Callithrix jacchus: one gene and its partners. The protein of the gene in region 2 interacts with the protein of the main gene of each other region in a pairwise test. Links are inferred from orthologs where the notes say so. Each region holds a gene or a part of one and is shown on either strand. Other genes may lie near its edges.

The links.
Region 1: the proteins of MGAT5B (region 2) and PITX1 interact in a two-hybrid assay, tested with the Homo sapiens proteins (2 studies listed by BioGRID). The link is inferred for Callithrix jacchus from reciprocal best matches to the Homo sapiens genes MGAT5B and PITX1.
Region 3: the proteins of MGAT5B (region 2) and DMRT3 interact in a two-hybrid assay, tested with the Homo sapiens proteins (2 studies listed by BioGRID). The two-hybrid records come from large-scale screens. The link is inferred for Callithrix jacchus from reciprocal best matches to the Homo sapiens genes MGAT5B and DMRT3.

The regions. Positions count from the first base shown.
Region 1 is NC_133503.1:33,465,477-33,472,327, reverse strand, and holds the start of PITX1 (pituitary homeobox 1), read left to right. Parts: upstream 1-2,998; 5' UTR 2,999-3,161; intron 3,162-6,851. UniProt on the Homo sapiens protein: Sequence-specific transcription factor that binds gene promoters and activates their transcription. May play a role in the development of anterior structures, and in particular, the brain and facies and in specifying the identity or structure of hindlimb.
Region 2 is NC_133506.1:132,713,294-132,720,210, forward strand, and holds the start of MGAT5B (alpha-1,6-mannosylglycoprotein 6-beta-N-acetylglucosaminyltransferase B), read left to right. Parts: upstream 1-2,794; 5' UTR 2,795-3,231; coding exon 3,232-3,299; intron 3,300-3,982; exon of another isoform or gene 3,983-4,127; intron 4,128-6,758; exon of another isoform or gene 6,759-6,852; coding exon of another isoform or gene 6,853-6,917. UniProt on the Homo sapiens protein: Glycosyltransferase that acts on alpha-linked mannose of N-glycans and O-mannosyl glycans.
Region 3 is NC_133502.1:107,432,551-107,439,479, forward strand, and holds the start of DMRT3 (doublesex- and mab-3-related transcription factor 3), read left to right. Parts: upstream 1-2,582; 5' UTR 2,583-3,194; coding exon 3,195-3,648; intron 3,649-6,929. UniProt on the Homo sapiens protein: Probable transcription factor that plays a role in configuring the spinal circuits controlling stride in vertebrates.

The DNA of each region.
Region 1 (6,851 bases), on a different chromosome or scaffold from region 2:
TGTAAGCTGCACCCAGCCAATCAGCATAACCAAATCCCTTGCTCACCCTGGGGAGGGTCCTATAGTTGTTGCCAAAAAAGGCTCAGCCCTGTTCTCAAGAAGCTTACAACTGGTAAGGGCAACAGGCTTTCGTCTATCATTATACAAAATTTCATTTCAATAGTTGCAATTAGAACTGTGAAGGAAAAGAATACTCTCCCTAATTTTACTTGGTATTAAGATTTAAAAAAAAAATAACACTGCCTGAAGAAGTGTTATGGCCTCTGTATAACAGTGGCTGCAAACATTTGCCCATTATGTGAACCCATGTGACAAATTCATCAGAGGATTTTGCACTAGGGAGAAAAATTTCTGTTAGAGAAAGCACATCAGTTTGGACTGAAAGACAAAGAAAATTCATCAGCCAATTCCGCTGAGCTTTTTTGATGGGGCACCTGGAGGCTGAGAGCTAAAGTGATATTCAGGAACAGAGACTGCTACTTCTGTTCCTGGTGAATCCTGCTCCAAACTTCCTCTCTCTCTCTGATTCCTTGATTCCACTGTGCCAAGATGTCTGCTCCCAAAGATGTCAAAACTAAAGGGAAATTGCAAAATATATATATTTTTATAGAAGGGAAAGTAAGATTATAAAAAGTGTGTTTTATCCCGCCCCCCTCAAGTTCCACTAAGAACTTCCTGACTTCCAGTCCCAGGGTGGGGTTGTGCCCCACCCACCAGCCTGCCCTGCTTTCCTGGACCAAAACTTCCTAGCAGCTAAGCAGGGAATAAGGGCAGATAAACTAAACCAGCAAAGGAATCTGTTTCTGCTAGACTCAACTAACATGACCACCATGGGGAAAGTATCTAAACAAAATAAGAGCAAACTCTCTTAAAGAGCAACCTGGTGGCTTTGCCATTCGCTTTCAGCCACTCTATACACAGGACTCAGGGCCAAGCCCCTTACCATCATCATCTCATCCATTTCCCAAAGAAAGCAGCAGGAACTCTTACTCTCACATTTCACAGATGGGGAAGCTGAGGCTGGGAAAGATTATGTTATTTGCCAAAGCCACACACAACTAGTAAAAGCCACTGACAAGATTCCAGCACAGGCCATCAGATGCCAGGGGGCAGCATGTTTTGGCATCAGAGGCCCTGCCTGGGAATGAGAGCATGCAGAAAATCTCATTCGAGATGGGAACAAAACTCGGAAAATTGCTAGCATGCAGGGAGAGAGGAAGGTGTGATTTCCTGCTACAGACTTCAGAGTAAAAGCCACCCCAGGAGTGCCTGTGCAGCCCTCCATAGTAAAGGTCCAGTGGTTCCATTTATGCCAAAAGAGGCCACTGCTGCTTGGAGTATAAGGAAGTTTCCCATGACAAGGTTGGATGCGCCAGCCTTGGCTTAGCAGCACTAGGGCTGGACCCAACAAGTCTTTTTCACACAAAAAGCAGACAACAGGAGCAGGTAGAAGTTGGGGCTAAAATTCCCACAGCGCGGGGTCCAAAGACAGTAGATGCACTTTCCCCAGGCCCAGGTCTGCTAGTGCGGTCACCGGGGACTCGTTATCTTAACTTGCAACCCTGGGTGCACAGAGCTCACACACACACTGGAGAGGGGTTCCTGCTGTTGACGGTTGAAAGGAGGGTATGGAGTCCCTGGAACAGCACGACAGAGGGCAGGGGCCACCTGGCAGGGCCTGAACGCCGAGGCCTCCGTGAGCTTGGGTCGGGCAGGCTTCCCCTTTCGGAGGCTGGGGAAGGGGTCCTGGGTCTCTACGTTTCCAGGCCAAGCAGCCCTGGAGGCACGGACTAGCAGGACGCCAAGGCGGCGCGGGTCGTGGCCTCTCCCGCAGCAGCTGTTGGCGAGAACCAGGCAGGGAGGCGCCGCTGCTGACGGCACCTCATGAAACATTCAGGCCCGGCTGCCGCGCTGCCATCTCCCGGCACCTTGCTCCCGAAACTGTTGCTCTGGATCCCATGGCCGTCGGAAGGCAGGCTCGGCCGCTCCAGTTCCTGAGAGTGACAGGCCACAGCCAGACCTGCCCTGTGGTCCCATCCCAGAGTCCCAGCAGCAAGTAGGCTCAGACTGGGCACTTCAGAGTACCAAGAGTAAGTTCGGTCAATTGGTTTCCCCCACGAGACTTTGGGCACAGGGTTATCTGGCCGCGGGGCAACGCTGGGGAGCCCTGTGGCCCGAGGGTGGGCGAAGGGCAGGCTCCCAGTTCCCTTCCATCTAGCCCGTCTCCCAGTGGCAGCCAGGAACAGGCCTGCAGGGCCACAGGGGTGCAGGCGTCACCGTTCGCAAGCCCGGAGCAGGGTGGCCGCTGGGGGATGTGCAAGCACAGGGGTTGGACAAGGGGCCGCACAAGTGTCTGTCCTGAGAGGTCAGTCTCCCCTTTCCTCACCAGCCCAGGCCCTGAAGAGAGGGAAGGAGGCAATCCGCCAAGCAGGGCAGGTCGGATGGCACCCCCACACCCAAACACAGAAACCCTGGGGTCTGTCCGCCAACCTCCTGGGCTGCCACGCTCTGCGCAGGGACTCTCCCTGCCAACACGCAAAACCAGCTCCCTCCCGCAGGCTGAGCAGGAAGGAGAAAGGTCCAATCTCAAACCGTCCCCCGCAACTAGACCACCAGCCCCCGTCTAAACGGAAGTAGGGCCAGCCCTTCAAGAGTTAGGTGGGAAACTGAGCCCTGGGAAAGAAAGGGCGCCCGGGCCAGGCTGGGACCCGCTGCGGCTTCGCAGGCTGCCAGGCCCCTCCACGGAGGTCCGAGGGCGCGTTCCTCGGCCTCCAGACTCAGCTGCCAGCCGCGCGGACCCCAGCCCGCGCCCCGAGGGAGGCCGGGACCCCTAGGCGGCGGGACTGCGCGCCGCCCCTCCCCGCAGGTCCAGGCTAGCGCCTAGCTTCCCCTCCCCCCTTCCCGCCTCCCGGCGGGTGTCCCCGCCTTCCCCGCGGGCGACGGGCGGCGGCGGCGGGAGGAGCGGGCCGAGCTAAGGCAGCCCCGGCCTCGCGCTCTGGGATGTAGCGAACCAGCAGGGGCCGAAGGAACTGGCAAAGCCGGAGCCAGAGCCAGAGCCAGAGCTGGATCCCGGGCCCCAGCCGGAGCCGAAACCTGAGCCAGAGTCCGCGGCGGGCGAGCCCGGAGCAGACGAGCGGCAGACGCAGCGCTGCCCAGGTGGGGTAAGAGACGCTGGGCTAGGGGCACAGGGTCTCCGCGGTGGAGGGGAGCAGGGAGGTGGCGGCCGGCCGAGTCCTGCGCAGTTTGCTCCTGGCGTGTGTGGGTCCAGCCGGCGACACGCGACAGCGCAAGGCGCGGAAGGTCAGGAGCCTTCGAGGCAGGAGCCCGTGCGTGCGCCCAGGGCACAATCATAGCCGCCGTCACCTAACCGGTGGGATCAACCCTCCGCTTCGGCCCCGGGCACCCCAAGCGGGTAGCAGCCTCGGGGGCACGGGCCACGGCTCCGCAAAGGGCACAACCCCGTGGCAGCCCATAGCGGCGGCGCGGGAGGCAGGGCCTCCCGACCCCCAGGAGAAATGGGCAGGAGAGAGGGCCTCCCGCTGCTCCTCACTGCGTCCAGGGATGGAGGGCCCCACCACCCATGGAACTGCTGGCCCCTCTGCGTGGCCCGGGACTTCGGCCGTAGCTTCGCATCAAGAGGGTATTTTTCCTAAACGAAACCGCTTCATTCGTTCGTTCGTTCGTTCGTTCGGGCAGCAATGATAACGAAAAGCAGCAGACATCGGCCAGCGCCCTGGCTCTCTTCGCCCCGGACTCCGACGTCCCGCCTCAGCGCTCGGAGGTGCCCCCAGCCCACCGCGGCCTGCCCTCGCCGGCACAGGTCCGGCTTTTTCTTCCCATGAGAAAAACCCCAAATTCCCTTCTTAACGTCCAATAAAGACATTCCCGCGGCTTCTCCCGGGTTTGGTTGTTGACGCAGTTCCCGGAGCACGCAGCCGCTTCTCAAGAACCGGGTCTCGGACTTCTGAAATTGACCAGCTTCGTAAATTGGAGCCCATTCTCCCGCGGCAAAGGCAGGGCTCCAAAGCCAGGATGGCAGTCATGGGAACCCCAGGCTGAAATCCGGGTCCCAAGATTTTCCGATTTAGGAATTCCCTGAATCTACAACGAGTTAGTCCACTTTTCTGAAAAACTAAGACTTGTGTATTCTCTGGACATCGCTGTGACCTCTGAAAGCCACCAGGTCCAGAGGGAGGAAATCCCAGGTTGCTGTCCACTGAGGGAGGATTCAGGTCTAGGGTTCAGGTCTAGGGTAGTCAGGCCAAAAGCTACAGGCAACCGGGGCAGCACAGAAGACTTGCTGTCCCCGTGCCCTTTCATGGGGCTGCTTTGGGCTTCCCGCATCTCTGCCAAGGAAAGGAAAAGAGGTGGGCTGGGGCGCGGAGACCAGGCTGTCTGGACTATAGGATGCAGGGGCCTCCAGACAGACTCAGGGTGCTCTTCTCCCACCTAGCCGCTGGGAAGAGGAGGCTGTGGTGCATCATAACCCGCCCCTCTGCTCCCCAGTTGTGTGACCAGCTGCACCTCCTTCCTAGTCTTCTTCCCCACAGCTCAGCCATTCTCAGGATCTAGAAAACTTCTGTTGGAATTAGGTGAGAGGTGGGCCGGGAGAGCCTTCGTCCTACCAGCCGCTGGCCCACAGCACGGAGTCCTGAGTTCTGTAATCCCATCTGTGCCTCACTGGTGGCAGTCCTGCCCAAATACATCCTGGCTCTCCCAGGAACAGGCTGGGGATCCTCAATTGGCTGGAAGCCTCAGACTGGGGTCCCAGGAAGCCTAAAGGAGCCAGTGAGGTCTTTCCAGCCCCTACCTGAGCACCCTCCTCCCTGCTTATCCAGTAATTGCTGTAGTCAAAGGAACAAGAGCTTTTATTGGGGAGGGGGTGTTAGATTAGGCAGAAGAGGTAGGTGGTCTAGGCTGCACTACCAAAACTGGGTTTTCAAGTTTGAACCTCTCCACGGACTAAGAGGCTTAGGGCTGGAATGTCCCAGAGAGTCAAGGATAGCCCTGGTAGCAGGCCATGGCACATTCCTTCCTTTTTCTAAAATACCTTGATTCTCAGAGCAAGGATTAGAGCAGGGTGCCCCCAAGGGTAGGTAGAAGGATACCTCTCCATGAGAGCATCCTAACCACCCTTCCCCAATTACATTACTAAACCATTCTTGGACACAGGCTGTTTTTAGTGAGCCCGGCTTCAGGAAGGGTCCTCTTGGTGACTGCTTCAACTCCACAACAGCCCAGGCTCTTCTGTTCAGCCCAGCCAGGACCCTAAACTCCAAAGAATCACAGAATCATTGCTGACTTTGTGTGGCGAGGGATGGTGTGGGGAATAGGACACATGGTTCCAGCTCCACTAAACCCCTTTCCCTCCTCTCTTCGAGTCCCATCAGCAAGCGAGCTAGATGCTGAAGCAGCAGACAGAGTCCCATATTGGACATGGGAACTGAGGCACAGGGCAGATCAAGCCTTGATATTGAGGCAAACACAGGTCACACAGCACAGTTGGAGGAACACCAAGCCTCTTCTTACTCCTGAAAGAGTGCTGTCTTCTGTCCTGTGTATGTGATGTGTCTGTGAGTGTGCAAGAAGCCCCTGTCTTGACTGGGACAATGGCCAGTGAGAGAGTGTAGCCGGGGAAGAACAGAGAGCATGTCCAGGTCCCTTCCCCAGCCAATGCCCAGGATCAGGCCACAGCCTCCTCACTCCTTGATCACTCAGTGCTGCCCAGGCCAAGCGGGACACACTCCCCTAGCAGGCCTCACTAGCCCCATCCCCTCTTTGGGTCTCAGGTCCCCTGAGGATAGGGGCTTCACCTGAAACAGTCTGAGGGCTTTTCCATCCACACAGCAGGTAACGAGATTGCCAAATAAAGGGACTATTGTGCTTGCCTGGAGCTTGGCCAGAGGTTTGGGCCCAGAGGGGCACACAGCAGGTGCTCAATAACTGCATTAAATGCACCAGCAGTAAGGATACAGGCCCCAGACTAATCAGTGAGTGCTGCTGAGTCACAAAACAGTCCCCATCCAGGGACAGCCCAAAGAGTCACTTTGGTCCCTCCGGGAAATGAAGGGGCTGTGAGTCCCAGCCTCCTCTGGATGCCCACAGACAGACCATTCATTTCTAAGTCTCTGCTCAGAGATGCACTGTGCTTCCCACCTTGGCCTGACATGTGGTGGGTTAGAACACACCTCCTATCCCCTACCAGCCAGCGTTCATGCCAAGTAGCACATATATGCCTCAACTCAGCACTTCCATAATGCAGTGAGTGCATGTGTGTGCAGAGCATGCTGGCATGGATGTACAGGACGTGTGTGTATGTGCGCGCACGCGTGCGTGCCCCCATGCTGTATGCATGCAGGCTGTTCTATGCGGTAAGACAGCTAAAGGGAGAATGGTGTGTGAAGGGACACTCCCGAGCATGCTGCGGCACCTGAATATCTCCTTGAAAGGAGGGATCTTCTGCTGCAGGAGACTTAGCCAAGAAATGTGGTAAAGGTGGAGCTGAGGGCAAATGCTGTGCAACTGTGCTTCTCCATGTCCCCCTCCCCGTGGCCAGGACTCGTTTCATGGAGGGAGATCTCAGCTTGGAAGAAGGCAGGAGCCTCCCCAACCAAACTCCTGGGAAGTGTCCTCCCTCCGGCCTCAGACCCTGCCTCCTGTGGTCACAGATGCACAGTGAGAAAGGGTCAGGCCCTAAGGAGCTGCTGTCTCTCCCTGCCCCACAGTTGGGGGGCAAGGGGGGCTGGGGCTAACATGGAGGGAATGGAAGGCAGGCCTCGTTCCACACTGTGTGCCTGCCCCTGACCCCAGCATCCCTCACAAGAGCTCAACCTGACCCTGGGTGTCTCCCT
Region 2 (6,917 bases):
TTTTTTTTTTTTTTTAATACAGTTGAGCTTTCTCCATGTTGGTCAGGCTGGTCTCAAACTCCTAAGCTCAGGTGCTCCACCCACCTTGGCCTCCCAAAGTGCTGGGATTACAGGTGTGAGCCACTGCCCCCCAGGGTCCTTCTTTCTTACCCCTTCATGTTCTAGCATATTCCGGAAGCCATTTAAAAAAGTCCTCAGGCAGAGAGTGGAAGGTGTCCTCAGTAATCTGCCTCTTAGCTTGCAGAGGTGACTGCAGCAGGGGGCACAATCAGCATCTGTTCCTGATGGACGGGAGCAATGATCAGCAGAACCACCATGCTTGGAAGGCTCTAGAGGGCCCAGCAATGGGCTACTTGCCTGCATTAAGTGGCTGGATCCTCGGAACAGCTCTATGAAGCAGGTTATAAGGAGCTTGATTTATGGTTGAGGAAACCAAGGTGTGAAGAGGTTGTATCCAAGACTGCATGATATGGCATTCACAGCTTTTCTCCTAATGCCTACAGCACTGCAGGGAGCAAGCAGGACTGTTTACATGGAACTTTACTGCAGACAAGAGGCCAAGGAAAGGAGACAAACTCCAAAAGGGCCAGGCAGCTGAACAGTCTGGCTCATAAAATGTCACTGGCTGGCCTGGTGTGGTGGCTCCTGCCTGTAATCCCCGCACTTTGGGAGGCCGAAGCGGGCGGGTTACTTGAGGTCAGGAGTTTGAGACCAGCCTGGCCAAACATGGCAAAACCCTGTTTCTACTAAAAATACAAAAATTAGCTGGGCATGGTGGCATGTGCCTGTAGTCCTAGCTACTCAGGAGGCTGAGGCAGAAGAATCGCTTGAACCCAGGAGGCGGAGGTTGCAGTGAGCCAAGATCATGCCATTGCACTTCCGTCTGGGTGACAGAGCAAGACTCCATCTCAGAAAATAAATTTTAAAAAAGTCACTGGCTTTCCTCTGCTCACCTCGCTTTCAGTACCCAAGCCGTCCATCAAATGGCAGAGGGGCTCCTCCACTCCAGCCTCAAAGTCCAGATCTAAGACAGTGTGACCCAGAGGAAGTGGAAAGCATCCTCCCCTATCTCCTGAATTCTGGCTTTTGTGGAGGATAGGCTACCTCCCCAGATGGCCTGCTCCAGAGGTGACCATGACTTCTAGGGAGCCCCATCTCTACCACTCAGGAAGAGGCTTCCCCTTTGGCCTAAAATGGCAACCGGGTATAAATGCAACCCGCTGAGCTTACATGAGAGAGGCGCCCAATCAGAAGGGCCATTTCATTCCTCCTGTAGATACAGCTTTGGCCTTGACATTCAGGGAGTAAATTATTGCCAGAGTTTGTGGCAGATGTAGGCACCCAGGCATGAGGTGTGATTTAGAGGCCTGGCAGAGACCTCTGCCCTCCGATATCTCCTTAGCCAACCTGCCATGATGCCCAAATTTCCTGCCACCATCCGTCACTCTTCTGCACAAAGGCACGGTCAGCATGTCCTTGTTCAATGCAAATTTGTTACCTAGCTGGTGTAACACATCCTTCTGCTAAGACCAATTTATCACCCGTTTTCACATTAGCAGGGAGCAAGGCAGTGAGATAATGGAACTCAGCACAGGTCAATTTTGATGAAGAAGGAGCAGGAAAAGCAGAGAGCATGAGTCACCGCCAGTAAAAAATGGCCCAGGAAGGGGACAGGGAGGTGGGCGGGGCAGGCGACAAGGAGACTGGGCATGGGGGATTGGAGGGGACCAGGACCAGGTGGAGGAAAAGAAAGTCCCCTCCTTTCATAAGCCAGGCTGCCCCATCAGAGCCTGAGCTGGGAAAAGCCTCAGTCATTTGACACATGACTGAGGCTTTGGGCACTTCCCAGGGTGGGGTGGTCAGGTCTGGCCTCGGGAAGTGCTTTTGAAGCCAGAGAGCTTTCTTCAGACTGGCCCTGCGAGCTCCCAAGAGCCTCTGTCCATCTCTGCAACTGCAAACTTATTCCAAATCTAGGAAGGGTGAGGAGAGGGGAGGGGAGGACGCCTAGATGCTAAGAGACCACATGAGATCCTACATGTTTAGGGTTGTAAGGGGCCTTGGTGAGCTTCTGGTCCAATCATTTCATAGTGGAGACTCTGAGATGTGCACACTTGATTGCCCACTGACTGGTGGAGGATCTGGGGCTAGAACTCAGTGCGCCCCTGCGCCTGGCTCTGTGAGTAGGCCCCGGCGCCACAGGCCGAGTTAAGCAAAGAAGATCAGTAAGCAAAGAAGAGCCACGGGAATTTCTGATCAGGGAGGGACAGAAGATGGGCGGGTGTCGCCAAGTGAAATCCCATCGGTGGGAAGCGGCTGGTGCGGAAGCCCGTGGGGGCACCTGGCGGAAGAGAAGGGTCTCCGCTGGGCGCGCATCTCCTCTGTGCTCTACGGAAGCCAAAGCGGCTTTTGGCCCTCGGGGCTGATGGCGCCCGGGGAAGTTGCTTGGCTCAGGGGGAGGAGCAGGGACCCCCGCCCGCCGTTCCCCAAGCAGGTCCTCCGCGCCCCAGCCCTGCACAGCTCCGGGCAGGGCGCACAGCGAGGCTGCGGCCACGAGATGGCGCCGGCGCGTCTTAGAAGCGCCGCAGCCGCTCCCGGGCCGCCCCAGCGCCGCTCGGCCGCCTCCTCCGAGGAACAATGCGGCGCCTCCCGGCGTAGCGCGGCGCGGGGCTGGACGCCGGACACCCTAGCGCGGGCAGCGGAGCGGGCGGGCGAGCGGGCGGCGGGTGCGGGCTGCCTCCGTCGAGAGCCATGGGCGCAGCGCTGCGCGGGGCCGAGGATCCGCGCGGCCCGGAGGCGCGGGGGGCGGGGGCGCGGGCCCGGGGCCGCCTCTAGCCGGCACGTAGGGCGCGGGGCCGGGAATGAGGGCGCCCGCCGCGGGGATCCCGTCTGCGCGCCGCGGCACTGTCCCGCCCAACGAGCGAGCCGGAGCAGGCAGACGCGCGGCCGGTGGTCTGGGGGCGCGCCGCCTCCCGGCCCCCAAAATGTGAAGCGGGGAGGGCGGAGACGCAGAGACGGCCGGGCCGGGCGCCCTCGCCGCCCTCCGGCAGCCGCGCTGCTCCCTCCGCTGCCCGCCCAGGCCCGAACAGCGAGGCCACCCGGCCGCGCGCCCCCAGCTTCGTTCTGAAGCGGCTTCGGCCAGCAGAGGGTTCGCGGCTAGGACGCGGCGGGAGCCGGGCCCAGGACGGTGCGTCCGGCCTCGCCTGTGGCTCTTCGCCCAGACAAGTTTGAACAATGATCACCGTCAACCCTGATGGGAAGATAATGGTCAGAAGATGCCTGGTCACCCTGAGACCCTTTCGGTAAAGTTCCCTTCTGGTTGATCTTTTCCCCCGGGGGGCGCGGGGTGGAGGCGGGCGAGGTCGGTTCCTGAGAGGGTGGAAGCCCCGATGGCAGAGGGGGCGGTTCAACCCTTGGCGATGACCAGTGGGACTGGGCTGGGGACACGAATGGGGTTGGGACTTGGGGTGCGGGTGGGGAGGGGTGTGTTATTCTGGTACCTGTCCTGAGTTGGGCAGGGTCGGAGAGGACTCGGGGGCGGAAGTGAGAATGGGGGCAGAAAACACCTGCGTGTTGGTGGTGGTCCTGGGCCCAGAAAGTCGCCCCAGCCTGCGCACCTCTTCCCAGCCCCTCGGGGTCCGTCCTCACCCGGTGGACTGTCCCATCCGGGCGGCAAAGTTAGTGCGCAGCGCCCCGTAGCTCCCCCTCTGGTCCCTCCCGTCCTGCCCGTCCGCCCCTAGGTCGCTCCCCCCACAACCTCCCTGCCTGTGCTACCCTCTTCCCCACTTTTGGTGGCACTGCCCTCCCCCCGCGGGGCTCTGGCCTGGCTCTGACCAGAGGGTCCCGAGATGAGGGCGAGGACCCCCTAATCCCGGGATTCGCCTCCCGACCGCAGGTGTTGTAGAGGCGGGAGCAGGGGCGGTGCTGCGGGGCTGGGGGGGCGGCGGGCGCTGGGGCTGAGGAGACCGCAGCCCCCTCTCCTCCCAGGCACCCGCGGAGCCTTCCTGTAGCGGGATGGGAAGCGGGCGCTGCCTGGTGGGCGCCCGGCGGGGCCCTGGGTAGCTGGATAGCCAGGACGCTGAGGGAGTGGCAGCCCCGACGTAGGGGCCGGACTCGGGACGCCGCCACAGGTGGGGTCCGGGTGCGGGACGGAGCTTGCGAGGGTGGAGCTGGCAGGGAGCCTGAACCCCTCAGGCCGCGGCCGGAGCCCGCCGAGCCCCGCTGTAGTCTTCCCAGAGGGCGATGGGGGCGGGGAGACGGTGGCTCACCTGGCGCCCGCCTCCCAGCACACCGGGCCTGTGTGCTGGGCCGAAGAGGCAGCCCTCAGAGACGGCAGGAGTTAGGCTAGACCGCAGCGGTCCGGGGGTGCAGGAGGCCGGGAGAGCTGGGGCAGGCCCTGGGCAGTGATGGGAGCGTTGGGAGCCCATGAGAAGCAGGGCGGGAAGCAGGCGTCTCTGGAAAGGGCCTTGCTCCTCCAGGGAAGCCCTTGAATCCCTGGCCTGACTGGGAACACTGGAGGATCTTCGCCCCTTCTTCCCCCCACCCCCGACCCCCGACCCCTTGCCGGTCCCGCCCTCCTGACCGCTGGGTGTTCCTGGAGCGATTGGAAGCAGCCGTGGGACGCCAGCACCACGGACAGCGCTCGCGCCCCAGAGCGGCTTCCTTGTCTGGTCTTGCCCTGGTTTTTTTCAGGCCCTTATCGGAAGGCAGGATTGGGGTGGAGCTGCACGGGTCGCCAGAGTTGTGTAACTTCACCCCAGGGTGTCCCTGGGCTGCCCAGAGACCCGCAGTCATCAGTGAGTCCCTTCAGTTGAGGGGGGCAGGCTCCAGTCACAGTACCCCAGCTTGTTCATCCTCAAAGGCAGGCTGGGGTCCTGATCCCTCTGGTTTTCCCAGGGCTGCTGACAGCGTCTTCATTCCATAGGTGCCCCTGGAATATTGCTTGAGTGGATACATGGATGGCTGAAGCCATTTTAACTTGAATCCACTCCAAATGGTCCCCAGCTGCCTTGGGGGACACTGAACCCCAGGATGGAGGGCATGATGGCAGAGGGAGATGCAGATTAGGTGTGCTGGGGGCTTCAGGTTCTGAGCTGAAGAGGGCAGACACCTTTCTCATAGCAGGGTTGTTGGACCCTGGCAGGCAGCCCAGGTCCCCAGCTCTAAATACAACTCCCTGGCTGGGGAAGAGACCGGGGCGGGGGGGTGAGGTACTAGAGACAGGAGTGGGGGAAGTCTGTCCTTGTCCTTAGACTGGGAGGACAAATAGCTTATTTCCCCTGGGATCTCCCTGGGCACAGGACAGCACCTCTCTTACGCCGTTGCCGTGGCTGCTGTCTGCAGAACCACCTGACTTCCTCCAAGGGACCCCAAGATCTGAGCCACAGCCCCAGGTTTGGTGGAATTCAGCAAGGCATCCCTCTGCACCTAGGGAAGTGTCCCTTATGCAGTCTCGGCTACTGAATCACGTCTCCTGTCCTCCCTCTTGGGGGTGTGGTCTTCGAGTCTCTCCTTGGGGAAGCTCCCAAGGCCCTCTCTGCTTTTGGGTTCTCTTCCTCCCTGCCCAAATCTCTTAACAGCTTCCTTTAAATATGGGCTGGGATTTTGTTGTGCTTTTTATTTTCTTCTGCAATTGTGTGTTTTCTTTAATGGACCAAATTTTAATTAAATACTGCTCTGCCAATTTCAAATAATGAATATTAAAATGCATAAAACAAGTCTTGTGTAAAGATACAAACAAGCGTGGAACTGGAGGGCGGGGAGTGGAGGGGCGAGGCCCAGGGGTCTCTGGCATGACATGTGGGGCTCTTTCCGGGTAGCCTGGCTCCACACAAGATGGGGTTCCTCGCCCTGATCTGGGGTTGGTGGGAGGGTGCCCCTTTCAGCTCTGCCAGTTCATCAAGTCCTCTGATTGGTTCAAGGTCCCAGAGGAGCCCCAAGGCTGTGCTGCTGAGCTCAGTGCTCCTGTTTTGGGCCTAGGATTGATGAGGGAAGCAGCAGAACTCTGGGTCTGGGCTTGAGGGAGGGAGGGTTCTGTGCCTCGTTCCCTCCTGTACCCCTGGGGTTACCCCAGAGCCTGGATCCTCGTAGATAATCCACAACTCCGTGTTGAAAGCATGAACAAGAGAGTCCTGTTCTGGCCAGGACAGCACACACACCTGTCACACAGGTGTGAGGGCACAGGTGTAAGGACACCCTGGCCAGTCCATGGTTCAGGCTGATGACCCTGTGTGCACCTGCCTAGGAGAGATGTGTGTTGGGGGGATCGTGGGCACGGGGCCGTGTGGCCCTGCCATGGAGATCTTACCATCTAGTAGTGGACATGGATGATGGTGTCCAAGCGACCTCATGACTGCTGCAGCAAGGCCCCTGCACAGCACCCAGGGTGGCCTGGGTGATTGATGGGATCCAGGTTGGCCTTGCCTGGACCAATTCCTTGCCCTCTGGCTGGCATCGGGCCCTGCTGTGTCCATCACTGGTTCTCAAACTTCAGCATGCAGTGGAATCTTCAGGAGACTTTGCTTAAACAGCTTGCTTGCCCCATCCCCAGAGTGTCTGATTCAGTCATTTGGGGTCTGGACTTGGCACTGGCATTTCCAAGGATTCTCAGGTGATGCCAGCGGCTGGTCTGGGGACCACACTTTGAGGACTGCAGCTGTTAATGAACCAGCTCTGCCTGGAGGCTAGAGCCCGCCTGCCTCACGCCTAAGTGTGCGTCATTCTGCCTCGTGGTTTTCCGTGTGGCTGTGGGCCAGCTCCCTGTAGTCGAGCTCTCTTTATCCTATAGTGAGGGGAGCCCTCCTGGGCCTGGGAGCTCAGCCCCTACCCTTTCGTTCTCCCTTGCCTCCTTCACTCATGTACTCACTCATAAAGCATTTGTGCAGTGCGTACTTGGTGGAGCGCTGGGGCATGATGGTGCT
Region 3 (6,929 bases), on a different chromosome or scaffold from region 2:
TTATTTTTCCCTTTTCCACTGTTATCTGCCACAGTTCTACTCAGTTAATTGCGGTTTGAGAACACACACCATCCAGAGAGCACCAGTGGATCTAACCAAGTGAGGTTACATTTACTTGTAATCCTCCCCCTTCCCTTTCCACTTTCTTTGATGATTTTTCCCATACGTGTGTAAGCTACGGGGACTTAGTAGAAGCAGGCCGCTCCTCCTAAATGTGATTTGGACCATATGCTTTCTACATTCATTCCCGCTCCAGCTTTTCTTCTCTGCACTAACTGCTAACACGTTATAGTCACCTTGAAATTTCCTCTGCTATTTTCCAATTAAAAGCTTAATAGCCCTGGAAACGGAGTTCATGTGGTGAAGTTTACCATAGCCCCTTGTTCTGAAAGGCTTTCTGCTGGGATCCCATTATGTGCTTGAATAAACCCTTTCTGCAAACAGAAATGGGACTCGGGGTTGTCAGGTGTTGGGTTACAATAGACTTTGAGGCAGGGGACATTTTACCAACATAAATACAAACCTGTCCCTATAGGGAGATGTTGTCAAATACTGGGATATGGAAAACATTCCCATCAAATATGAGAAAAGGATTACTGCACTATATCAAATGAGTATTTAGATCTCAGCCCCCGATGTGCACCGGAGTGAAACGGGCCCCCGGGACCAAATAATGCCAGACTGTTTGAGTGGCAAGGAGTTAGGGTGGCTAGGTGACCTAGGGAGGAACGGGAAAGAGGGGTCGCCTTGGTAGTGAGAATGCCCCCACAAACCTGGTGCAGAGCTCTTCTGCTTTCCTTTTAAAAATTTATTCATGCTCAAGTTCTTTCTACTCCCTCGTTTCATTGACCATTTGAAGAAAATCGGAAGAAATTTGGTTTTGAAAAAAGTCGTCGATCCCCACGTTTCCAAGAGACCTGGAGGTTTCAGCGCGATAGTTTTCAGATAAGGTGTCATTCGTGGCCCTCTACACCTCAGCGCGTTAAATGACTCGCGTCCAGCTCCTCACTTCCTAGCCTCAGGCCTATAGGGCTGCGGGCGATCTCTGCCTCCTGTTCCCAGAGCTTACGAAATTTCTTCCAGTTGTGCTTTAGGGCTTGTTTTCCTAGAGAAGGCTGAGACTAGAGGAAGGATTAAAGTGGTGGGGGAAGGGGCAAGACCGAGGGGTCCCTACCCCACGCGGCTTTGGAGGATGGCCTCCCACTCAAATGCTGGGGCTTCTTGTCCACACTCCAGGTCAGTCTCCCGCGATCCCCATCTCACGGACGTGTATGATACGGGACAGCTAAAGGCTTCAAGGGAAACACTCAACCGGGTTCGGTTTTAAACCCTCCTCTCCTCCGCGAATCAACCTTCTAGGCAAAGGGTTGGCTGCTAGAACGCCTGGAAGTGCTTCCCTTGAATTCACAGCAAACACCAGAGGAACGTTTTCGGGTTGTCTGCTTACTTCCAGGGCAGTACGGAGAAAAGGAAGAAAAGCGGCCTCCCGGAGGGACAAGGGCCTCTGTGCCCACGAGGGGTCCGGCATTGCAGCGGACTTGCCCGCTTTCATCTAGCATTCGATTCCCCGCCAGATGAGCTTGGTGCAAACACTCTTAGAAGCGTACCCACCGAAGGCTCTGGAACTGCCCCGCTTGGCATAGAGCTATTGGGCTGTCCCGCTCCCAGTGTATCCACCTGTTTTTTGTTTTTTTTGTTTGTTGATGGGCAAGGGGGAGGCGCGAGGGGGTGGGCCTTCCTTGTGCATATATAGCGATAGTCTGCACTAGGCCAAACCGGCTACTCTTGGGAGAATGGGAAAACACAAATAATCTAATCGAAGTTTTCTGCTGTCATCTTGTGCAAGGACCCTCTCCCCCAAGACATCTATGACTGGGGTCTGTGGGTTAAGGGGTCAAAAGTGGCCCTATTCCATATCCATAATTAAATCACAGAATCTTTGGGGATTTTAATTGAGTGGCTGGCTCCAGACCTGCGTTTGCCCCCAGTGGCTGCTGGGAGAGAGGGAAGAGATAAACTTGGGGGCGCTAATGTGGCTTCTGCGTCTGCTCCTTGAAAGTTTATACCTGGCGCTTAGCAAATTCTTTCCGGGAGCATGTATGTCCCTGACCTTTCAGGATATTGTTTTATATTAAAACATGGAGAGGAGGGTAGAAAAGTAAAATTTGCCTGCCCCCAAAAAAAGGGGGGGTGGTCATCCTTGGGCCGGCAGAGCTCCACATACATTTTTTCCAAAGCAACAAAAGATAAAAAAAAAAAATACGTTTTAAAAGGAAATTAAGAAAAGAGCTTAACGTTCCCAAATCAACATCACTCCAATCCCCTATCCTAAACTCCACCCAGGTCTGTGATGCACCCCCAACACTCCCGTAGGTTCGGGTTCTCCCGGAGCTGAGTTTCTACGGCCAAATGTCGGGATAAAAGCTGCCTAGGGCTCGGAAAAACGCAGCCACAGGAGGACTGAAGGGAGGAGAAGAGAGAGAAGGGGAGCGGCCACCTCACTCCCTTACATGGACCCCCACCCTCACTCTCGCTGGTCCTCCCCTTCTCCGCCCCACGAGCACGCCGCGTTCCGGAGCGCTGCAGTCTCCCGCTGCAGGCTCGGGTGACGGAGAGGACTTGGAGGAGGGGGCCGTGAGCGCCCCCGCGAGCGTGGCCCGGCTGCAGGTGGCCAGGAAGGTGAAGTGCAGGGACCTGAGGGGAGCAAAGGAGGAGAAAGGCGTGGGGCGGGGAGTGCAAGGAGACCGGGACCCCAGGGGTGGGGGTGACGGTGGTGGTGGGAAGGAGGAGGGGTTCGAGGAGGGCAGCGGAGGAGGTGCTGAGTCCGGCCAGCGCGCAAGGGAGCTGCAGACGAGCTGGTTCAGACCTTAATCAGAGCTTTCGCCCGCTCCTTGCAGCCGCCGCTGCCCCTTAGCAAGGGAGGACGTGCCGACTCGGCTGTGCGCCCAAAGCAGCGGCCCGCGTTGGGGGTTGGCTGGGCGCGAGCCGGGAGGCCGAGCTGTGAGCGCCGAGGGAGCTGGAAAGACGGCTGCGGCACCTCCGGCCGTTCCGGGGCACGCCCAACCGCCGGCGCTACTGGACCAAGGGTCGCGCCGCCCGGAGGCAGCCCCTGAGCGTGCCTCGCAACCCCGCCGTCCAGCGCTCCCTGGCCCGCTCCGGCCTCCAGCCCGCCAACTCATCCGGGAGCCTGGGGCATGAACGGCTACGGCTCCCCCTACCTGTACATGGGCGGCCCGGTGTCGCAGCCGCCGCGGGCGCCCCTGCAGCGCACGCCCAAGTGCGCGCGCTGCCGCAACCACGGTGTGCTCTCCTGGCTCAAGGGCCACAAGCGTTACTGCCGCTTCAAGGACTGCACCTGCGAGAAGTGCATCCTCATCATCGAGCGGCAGAGGGTCATGGCGGCGCAGGTGGCGCTGCGCCGGCAGCAAGCCAACGAGAGCCTGGAGAGCCTCATCCCGGACTCGCTACGCGCACTGCCCGGGCCCCCGCCGCCCGGGGACGCAGCCACCGCCCCGCAGCCGCCGCCGGCCTCTCAGCCGTCTCAGCCGCCGCCGCCGCGCCCTGCTGCCGAGTTGGCCGCGGCCGCCGCTCTGCGCTGGACCTCCGAGCCGCAGCCCGGGGCTCTGCAGGCGCAGCTCGCCAAGCCAGGTAAGAGTGTCTGCGGTGCGGGAGTTTGGACGGGCGCTTGGGCAACTTCGGAGTGCCTGCTGCAGCTCCTCCTGGGAGGCCTGGAGGCAAGGTTTTGGGAAGTGGGACTGGCGGAGCTTTACTTCCTACCCTCCGACAGGCCGGTGTTTCCTCTCCCGGGAGAAGCCGGCTGAGTCTGGACCCAGCGCGGGTGGCACTTGCGCCCGCCGGGAAGGCGCCTCCGGGGAGCCACACCACGGGACTGTGCATCAGGGTCGCCAGGTGCCTTCCCCAGGTTAAAGGGGAATGTGTCAGATTGAGCAGGGAGATAAACGGAGTCGAGACGGGGCCAAATTAAAACGCAGGCGGGCACACTGCCCTACGTGGGGCAGAGTTTTCTGGGCTGCGGGTTTTAGAGGGCCTCGAATTTGGGGGTTGGAATGGTTAGGTGTAGGGAATGAGCCAAGACCCAGCCCTGGCTGACTCTGAGCTGCTTGTGCTTCTGGGCCTTGCCCCGCCCAGCCGGCCCGACCCAACCTGGCCCAGCCCAGGGCCCAGGAAAATTTGAGTGGGGACGAGCATTCCAACTCTGAGAACCCATTGCCTTTCTAGCTTTGCCCCATGCCCTTTCTAACTTTGCTCCGTGGCCTCCAGACTATTGTAATTGGTGAAAAGTTCCATTTAGCAATGACCGTAAAAAGGTCCCGAAAGGCTCCTGAGCTGATAGGGGGACCAAGAATCTGGTGGGCCAGAATTCACTCCTTTGCAGAACCTCCTAGATCCTTTAACACTGTTCCCCAGGCTGCCCTCAGCTGTCTTCGTGGTTTAAAGAGATAAAAAACAAAATCTGATCCCCCACCACCCATCTGTTTCTCTCCTCCAGGCCTCCTGAGCTTGGCAGGCCTGAGTTGGGCCTCTTAGTCTCTCTCCTCCTGGGGAATTTCTAGCTTGCGGTTCTGCCCAGCCCTAGAGCCCTTCTGATGGCTCTTGAAATTCAGCAGACATGTGTTTGGTGTTTCTCTGGGTCAAATGCACAAAGGAAAACGGCCCACCTTCTCCCAGAAGAAGGCATGCTGGAATTAGGAGTGGGAAAGTCCAGAGCCCTCCTGTAGGTAGAACTGTGGTAAAGCTGGTACCTACACTGACATGCCAACTCCCTAAAGACAGTACCCTAGCTTCTGGAGAGAGGCTTTCAGGAGCACTGGACTGCTTTGTCTGGATCCTGTGCAGCTGGGGAAATGATGCAGACTCACCTGTTTTGTGGTGAGTTGACGGGTGGCTGGCAGGTCCAGTTCTTCTGCCCTTTCAGTCATGCTATCCAGGCCCGAAGCTCTGAGAACAAACAGCCTGTGTGAGAGAAGAGCTGGGAATTTTAAAGATGGAAGAGAGTTTGCTGAACTTGAATTTTGTGGATATTTAATCCAAGTTAGCATATAAACATTTCTCAGGAATGCTCACCAGTCCTCTCTTTTGTCTGTCTCATCTTTTTATATTTATGAATTTGCCACAGAGGAATGAGAGGAGGAGAAAAAGGTTTTAGTGTTTTTTTTTTTTTTCTCCCATAGGTTTGAACAAGTAACTAGGAGGAGTTTGGTCTCAGCTCTAGAAGTGGATTTGTACCAATATATTTTCTTAATTTTTTTCCATTTCCTGCTTCTCTGGTTCCGTTTCCCCGAGGACTAGGGCAGAGGTCTGAGTTAATATCAGAGGTGGCGTTTTGCCGTGGCCACCTGCCCAGCAGCATTCATGTGATAGGGCATTGGGTTCTGTGGTCTCTGTCCAAGGGGATTCCTTTCACATCCTGTGTTCTTCAGAGTGTTCTTTGGGATAGCCAAAGCTCATGATTTCTAAAGAGTCACAAAACTAAAAACACAACCCCAGGAGGAGGAGGAGGAGTAAGGGCAGGCAGGACGGCGGAGTAGCAGCTGCAGCAGCGGCAGCAGGATACATGCTTTAGGAGAATAGAAAAAGGAAACGGATTTCAACTGGACAAACCAGAGCTGTGCTCTCTGTTTGACTCCTACCTAATACTGAGGGATAGCCTGAGCCTTCCAAATTGAAAACAGGTAATTGCAAAAGAGAATAGGATTTATCACAAGGAGAGGTCAAAGTGATGACTTTGGGGGACTGAGGCATCAGGGGGCTCAGATTCCAGCTAGTCGCCCCCACCCCATACCTTGCATATTGATGTACACAACTTTTGTTTTCTTCTTTCAATTGATTTGACCCCATAATTCATTTTTTTGAAAAAGCCAATCACTATCTGATGGGGAATGGGGAGAAAGGTAGGACAATAATAGATAATTGTTTAGGAAGACATACAAGTGGATCCATTCTACGCAGTGCTTGTAAGAATAAATTCCATTTGGGGTTTAAGTTGGAGACAACTGCCCACTGAGACTGCCTGTTGCTATAGGTATTATACCCTTTTTGCAGTTGTTCTGATAATGTATTTGTGTATAACATTCCATGTGTATTTAGAAGGATGTCAGAACTACTCCTGGATAAGTAGTTCACTATATGTAGAGAGTAAGCAAATCTCTATTGGAATTGTAGGTCCACATGTACATTAAGTAGACAGACCAGCAGAAATCTTTAAATATCTGCTGGCAGTGTAGATCTATTACTTGGTGAACTTTGATTTTAAAATGTGGTTGGTCTTTTTGCAGGGCAAAGGGCCTCTTTAGTACATAGCTGTGGAGAGAGAATTTTTTTTTTCTTGTATACAAAAGCACATGGAGTCTTTCCTCTCAAGAATCTTTGAGAAAAGCACATGCCTTAAGAAAGTGTATGTTTGCTGTGAATCACTGGAGAAAAACCACCATTTAGGGAGTGAGGTATTCACATCAAAACTCAGTTTTGTAACGAAGAAATTTTTTTTACATTTTGCTTTAGATTCTTTAAAGAACTGGGGTTATTTTATCTAATGGTGTAGTATGTTGAACATCCCTTTCAATGTGTGGTGTTTTTAAGGACAATTTTCGTATTCTAGTGGCTTTTACTTCTAGTTATGAAGTTTTCTTTTTTCTTTTGAATGTAGATTTCTCCTGCTCTTTGATTACCATGTATGATGCACCTGGAATTAATTATTAGCTTTTGATTGAGCCCAACATTTTGATTTAAGCTATATATAGATTTATTAAGCTATATATTTGCATATATAGATATATTAAGCTATATATCTATTAAAAGCTGTATCTGTAGCTTAAATTTAAATTATAATATCAGCTGTATATTTTTGTATATATGTATATATACATACACTGTTGAGTTCATTTATTCTTCTAAATTCCCTCTACATT